Kluyveromyces lactis: one gene and its partner. The protein of the gene in region 2 interacts with the protein of the main gene of each other region in a pairwise test. Links are inferred from orthologs where the notes say so. Each region holds a gene or a part of one and is shown on either strand. Other genes may lie near its edges.

What was found. The genes of interacting proteins can lie anywhere in the genome.
Region 1: the proteins of JSN1 (region 2) and RBL2 interact in a two-hybrid assay, tested with the Saccharomyces cerevisiae proteins (2 studies listed by BioGRID). The link is inferred for Kluyveromyces lactis from reciprocal best matches to the Saccharomyces cerevisiae genes JSN1 and RBL2.

The regions. Positions count from the first base shown.
Region 1 is NC_006039.1:823,237-826,034, reverse strand, and holds RBL2 (Rbl2p), read left to right. Parts: upstream 1-1,737; coding exon 1,738-2,055; downstream 2,056-2,798. Other genes in the region: DSE3 (Dse3p), read left to right, coding at 55-1,368. UniProt on the Saccharomyces cerevisiae protein: Tubulin-folding protein; involved in the early step of the tubulin folding pathway.
Region 2 is NC_006041.1:540,501-545,203, forward strand, and holds the start of JSN1 (Jsn1p), read left to right. Parts: upstream 1-1,491; coding exon 1,492-4,703. Other genes in the region: BUD4 (Bud4p), read right to left, coding at 1-9.

The DNA of each region.
Region 1 (2,798 bases), on a different chromosome or scaffold from region 2:
TTACTCAAAGGCGTACTTGCAGGCTTCAAAAAAAAACTTTTCATAATCAGTGCCATGGTTCGCCGGTTCAGTGGGCAACGAATCGTTTCAGAGATCGATTTCGCTCCTCCAAGCTCCATGCTGCTTACCGAGGAAGATCTGTCAAATATTCCAGATGCCTTCGAACAATTGAACCTGAGAGAAAGCGAGACAAAGAGCAACAAGTACGGTGCTTTGCAAAGTGGCGGAATGAAACTGTCTCGTAAGTTTGGGGGTACTTTAAGGCTAAAACAACGATTGAGTTCTGTACCAGAGCTGTTGCTGCGTGGTATTGAACAGCAAAAGGTAAACCCGACGAATTCGAAGACTATGGACCCTAAGGTTATAAAGAACTCGGGAGTCTCTTCAGGATCTATGAGACGGCTGATGCCTTCGGTAATGGAAAAAGATGAGATTGGGGACAGGTTATTACCAAAGACAGCAATTAGGTATCAAAATTTCAAAAGAAAGGCTTCTTCGCCATTATCTCAAGAACCAATTATCAATGTGCGCAAAGAGAATAGTTATATTGTGATGCCAGTTACCACTGAAATAATCGCACCATCTGCCGTGCTTGGTTCAGCAACTTCTACAAACCCCGAGGATTTTGATAACAGACCTTTCTTAAAATATCGTGAGCGTAATAGCAACAGTGATTTGCTGTTGGATGAAATTATGAATCTGTACACTAACAGAGATGTAAGTACGGAAGATTCGCCCATAATTAAGAAGAGAATTGATGATTTTATTGATACCATTCATGAATCTTTACAGAACCACAAGGCCTCAAGGGAAAAGGATAGGACGCACAAAGCTGTTGATATGTCACCAATAATAATAAATAAGAGCAGCCCAGGCTATGTTGATTGCCTGAAGCTACCAAATACACCAGAGTTAAGTCCTACTGAAAATTTGGAAGCCAACATCTCCACTCCAGAATACGTTACTTCAGGTGGGTCGGATCAAAGTAGTGGTGGTGAGGAGTTTTCAGATCTGGATTCCTTAGCTCTGGGGTTTAAGTCACCAGTTAGTGTAAGTGATGAATCTTTTTACAGTTGTTCAGAGGAAATTACGAAAGATATCAACAGTCCATCTACTACCTCAGAAACTTCCTTAATGAGCAGACACTTTTCCATAAGGAATGCTGGATTGACTGCCATTAATCCAAAAGTTCTAAATATCACTGATATGCTCGGATTTTCGGACGAAGAGGTTGAAGAAGTGACCGTCACAGACTCCCCTTCTGCTGAATACATAGATATTTCTGACAACTACTCCACAAAGATCGTTGACGATACTACAAGCAGCATTTATTCCCTTCAATCTGCTACAAGTAATCAGTTCGAATAACGAATTCGACGATTACGATTGAGTAACAAAGTATATAGCTATACCTAGCTGTATACACTGCATTTAAAACAATGAAAATACCCAATTATACGTACAAACCGTGATCGTAAGATATAACATCACTTATGTTTTTGTTCTACCTTGGGTCGTATTACCCTATCAAGCAGAGTGAATCTGCTTTCTATTTTTACCGTTTACGGTTTCTCAAAATCATAAATACTGAAATCCTAATGGAAAACAATAACTTCACGACAGTACTATGGTCGAAGTGCCTTCATCTTTTCTGAACCTTATTAACATTGTTTATGAGCAAGAATTGAACCGTGATACCAGATCTTGTTTGCCACAGGTTGATAAATTGCATACACAATGGCGCCTACACAACTAGAAATCAAAGAACGAGCACTCAAGAGATTATGCAAAGAGGAACATTTCTATCAAGAAGAGCTTGAACAACAGAAACTCCATGTCAAAAAATTACAATCAGATCCATCAGTAGATCCATATGATCTAAAGAAGCAAGTTGAAGTGCAACAAGATACAGAAAGGCTACTTCCAGAATTGTATAAAAAGATCAAACAATTTAGGGATGACCTCGATAAATACCTAAGCTCATACGAGGGTACAGAGGATTTAGAGTCTGCAAAGGCCGCGCTTGAAACTGCTGATGAACTTTTGAAGAACTAGGTATAGTAATTGTGTATACTGTATAGTTTTTAAGTCCTCCATGCATTGAAACTGTGGATATATTTGATATCGTTAGTAATATTAGTATGGTACTAATTGAAATATCATTTTGAGGCCCGAAAATGAATTTTAAAGTCGAAAAGAAGAGAATATCTTGAAGAGTTAGCGAAAGACCCAACTAACAAACACCACCAAGATGAAGCAACATCAAGCAGAAAAGAAACCTGTTAGTAATCAGTTATCAACGGGAGAGAGAATAGCAACTTGTTAAAGTCCATTTAATTATGTTCGAGCTTTGAGAATCAGCAAAAAAATGTTCCAACTGAGGTTCGAACTCAGGACCTTTGCCGTGTGAAGGCAACGTGATAGCCACTACACTATTAGAACAGATCTTAATTAAAAAAGAAAAAACTTGCATCACTCATGCGAGCTAGATTATTGTTGCGAACTAGTCATAACGCATGACCGGGTAACTACCAATGTAATAGGCGGTTAAGTATCAAGATGATACATAAGGATTGTTTCTAGTTGAAACATCATTAACCAATCTGAGTTATTATATAAGGAGGCATTAGATCCGGGTAAGGACAATCAACACAGTCATGCCAGATCGCCAGGTGCATCAACATACATTACTAGATATATAGCTAATAAACACTATGGATTTATCAGATACCAAAGATCTTAATTTAACAACACGTGACTGAAAATACCAGTATCACCAACAGAACTCGCATTTGTCC
Region 2 (4,703 bases):
CATTTGCATTGCCCAAGATGCTCAGGTATATTCGACTAAGGGACTTAAATTGACGACGAATAAAATGGAATATTACCACTTCAAAGATGTGATGAGAGTTAAGATCACTGATTTAATCGTTAAAACAATTCCCTTCAAAAAAAAAATGAGATCTAGTATAAACAAAGAAATGAAAGATGTAAACCCTACAAAATACAACAATATATTATAGTTGATGAACATATTCAATGGGCAAACAAGTAAACAATGGAAACCATTGTTGATGGGGTATGTTAAATTTCCCTGTCAATCACCTAGTGTTTGTTGACAATATCTGAATTAGGAAATACGTAAACATCAAATTAGAGGAAAAACCAAAAAAAACACAGAATTGGCAAAGGAAAACGAGATCATAATTACATAAGTATTCACGTGATTTCAAATTTTCAACTAGCAGTAATTCCGGGTAAGTAAATTCATTCTATTAATATTTTATTCTTTTCTCCAGCCACCGACCTCCGCCTCATATCCGAGGAAACTCACGTGCCGAGCTCTTACCCGGATAATCATAGTTCCTGACAATTAATTACTTTTCCATTCGCTGGCAGAGATAATCAAAGAAAGGGCGTGCAAAGACAAGTACCAAGGAAATATAAACCTTGAGCTTCAATCACCAAGCTTCTTCGCAGAGGCATACTTGCGTATTATTTTCACTGGCTCTAATTCTAAATACTCAGAGTGTGATTCGAATTGGATCATTTATTGTCCTGGTAAATCATCATTTTTTCTCTATATACGAGAAGAGCTGAAGATCACCATAATAGGGGCATAATGCGCGCTAAATTTGTGCTGCGTCGTTAATACTGAAAAGTTCCTGGGTTTTCAAACATATGTACTATATATAAAAAAAACAGTGTACTGTGGCCAGTACATTAGCAATATCCTAACTGACAGGATTTTCTAGCTTACTGCCTTGCTGTCATTCGGCGTTCTTCTATTTCCTTTATTTTATTCTGTTCGGCGTTTTCCAATAATCGAGAAAATTTCAAAATCCGATCCCCTTTTCATTCATCTTCCTTTTATTCTACCTGGCTATGGTAGTATATTTGTTCTAGTGTTTTTTCTAACTTTGTTAATATTTCATCATTGTCATACTATATTGAAATATAAAGAAGGCATTTTTAAATATTGAGAGCTGATTTGATTTGATTTGAACCAATTTAAACTTTAGAGAAGAATTGAGTTGTTTTGCTAAAAAAACCCAAACCAGTCACTCACCGAGTTAGTCAAAAGGGTATATTCACTGTGAGATTCTAGTGTAGTCGATTCAGAAGACAAAGATATACTTTTATCTAATAATTGGCTCTTACTTTCATTGACCCGACTCTAGTGTGTTTAGAAAACCGAGATATAAAACTTATCAATCAGAGCTAAAGCTAACTTTCCAAGGAACAGGTCAAAAATAGCAAATAGGTTTTTTTCCCGGCTTCTCGCAAATATCCAATTCACGTTATGGAGAAGAGGAAAGCTTCCGGCGATTCTATGTCAGGATTGTCCAACATTCCGGAAGTTATCGATCCAGGAGTGACAATTCCCATATACGAAGATGATTTCACCTTAAGTGGTGGCAATAATATAGACCAGCTACCAATCCAGCCACAGAAGCTAGGTTCTTATAGATCCAAGGCAGGGAAATTCTCCAACACGCTATCGAATCTTTTACCTAGTATCAGTGCGAAATTGCATCATAATAAGAAGGGTTCAAAGGGTAGTAGTGCCGTGGGAGAAGGTAACCATTCTGGTGAGTTAAGCTCGGATGATGCGACTGCAAATACCAGTGAACAGACTTCGAAGTCGGGTTCTATAGCTCAGATTAATTTGTCAGTGCCTGGACATATCACCCCGCCACTTGACGTAGATTACAATCAAGCTATTCATCTTCCGGATAGTTCAAGTCTTTTGGTCCCATCACAACCAAGGCTTTCCGGTGATTCGTTCACTTTTGCCACAAACAGCGTCCCGCTTCAACCAACTGCATCAAATACCATTTCCAGAACTAGGAACAATACCGTTTCATCTCAAATTACTGGCCCTTCTAACGTCAACGGGTTGGTCCCAAATGTCGGCAATGTTTGGTTCCCTAACGATATGAGTGTGAATCCAATGTCTCCTCCTGGCATTCAAACAACTACTAATCCAACTAATGTCAATAATAATAATAATAATAACAACAGCCATTTAGCACCAGGTACGTATAGTCCTTATGAGGCAACTGGTAACTATTTCGATCTGAACACAAGTTCTAATAACATTAATAACTTGGGTGTACCTGGAGCAACAACAGCTGGTGCCCATCAGTTCCAATCTCAACAAATTGGAGGGGTTTGGAATTCGAGACCTAGGTCTCAATCAAATGCGTCCAGTATCTATACCGACGCTCCAACCTACGACCAGATGGATACTAGATCTAGGGCTTCTACTTTCATTATACCACCTTCTATGGATCCACAACTAAAAGCCACTGCTGCTTCTACCAACCCAATTGTTCAAGATGACATGGATTCCAGATCGATCAATTGGGTGACAACTGATCCATCAGTACCATCGATCAACCACATTTCAAACTTATTACCAACTAATACCATATCCATCTCTAATGTCTTTTCATTGCAACAGCAGCAGCCTCATTTGTCCAATACTGTCAATTTGACGAGTACAAGTTTGGCAACGTTGTGCTTGAAATTTGGAACTGTCATTTCAGCACGGACCTTGAGGGGCGTTAATATGGCAATTGTTGAATTTGCCTCTGTGGAAGCTGCCATCAAGGCAAAAGAGGCTTTGAATGGTAAAGAAGTATCTCTAGTCGGTGCTCCAAGTACTGTTTCCTTTGCAAAAGTCTTACCTATGCATCAACAACTACCTCAGACTCAGCAAACTCAACAGCAAAATAACCATCAATCTACTGCCATCAACCCTCAGTCCCTGCTACAAGAACAGTTATTCTCAGGCGCAGTCCAATTCCAACAGCAAGGTAACGTATCCGTTCCTTCTTTTACTGGCAATACGCACGCACAATCGAGCTCTCAAGCATTTGTGTCACCTACCAATCCATCCTCAAGTAATTCTGAGAAGGAACAATGTCCATTCCCACTACCACCACCATCTTTCAAGGAGAATATCACTTTGTTGAACGATACTATTAATAAGTTTGGTATCAATTATGATACATCTCAGTACCAGCATATCATTGCAAACGCAATTGAATACAATGGAACAAGTGATACTACTGATTTCGGTCCATTACCTGAGCCCTTATCTACAAGGGAGTTCGATGCCCCAAGGCTTCGTGAATTACGAAAAAGTATTGATTCTGGACAAATGTCAGATTTGGAAATTGAACAGCTAGTTCTAGCTATGTTGGATGAAATACCAGAACTGAGTTCGGACTATTTAGGTAATACTATAGTACAGAAACTATTTGAACATGCCTCTTCCGTCATTAAAGATATTATGTTAAGAAAGACAAGCGTATATTTGACATCGATGGGTGTACACAAGAATGGTACTTGGGCATGTCAAAAGATGATTACAAACGCAGATACCCCAAGACAAAAAATGTATGTGGCAAACGGAGTCTATAAGTATTGTACCCCATTGTTCAACGATCAATTTGGTAACTACGTTATTCAATGTGTGTTGAAGTTTGGTTTCCCTTGGAACAACTTTATCTTCGAGAATATTGTTTCCAACTTCTGGAATATCGTGCAAAATAGATATGGAGCTCGTGCAGTCAGAGCTTGTTTGGAAGCCCATGACATAATTACTCAAGAACAACTCTTATTACTTAGTGCTATGATTGTGTTTTTTGTGAAATATTTAGCCACCAATAGCAATGGGGCCCTTTTGGTTACGTGGTTCTTAGACACTTGTACTTTGCCAAAAAGACACTCAATACTTGCTGAGGCATTATTACCAAATATTTTCGAATTAGGGTGTCATAAGCTTGCCTCATTAACAATTTTGAAAATCTTGAACTATCGTGGTGATGAAGTTGCCAAAAGGGCTATATTAGATACTATCTTCGGCCCTATGGATAACGAAATATCTTCTAAACCACCTCAGCTCTTATATCAGTTGTTGAGTGACACGAATTATGGACCATCTTTTGTTTATAAAGTTTTGTCTATTCCTATGTTGGAAGGAGACGTTAGACACCATGTTATCGAACAAGTTCGCTACATTTTGACCACAGAATCTAATATCACACAGCATCGCAGACTCTTGGAAGAAGTGGGCTTGAATGCAATAAACAATCAACCATCTACCGCTCAAACCAAGCCAAGAATGAGTATTTCCCATGTTTTTGGTAATGACCATCCTCAACATATGAGGACTGTTTCCGTCAACAGTGTCAGGTCGGCATCTTCTAGACCAAGAGCCTCCTCGAACGCACAATCTCAACAGCAACCCATCCAATCTTCTCAGGTCCAAGCTCAGTTACCTCAACAATCCCAATCTCAACCTCAGCATCAACCTCAGCAAGCGTCCATTTCTGGCATCTCTGGGCAAGCAAGCTACTACACCTACCCTGGCATGTTTCCCGCTTCACAACCGTATCAGTATTCCACGTCAACCAGTGGTCTGAATGATGATTTAGTGTCAAATTTTGATATGCTGACATTCAATAATGGCACGCAAATATCCTTGCCGCAACTAACAATGAA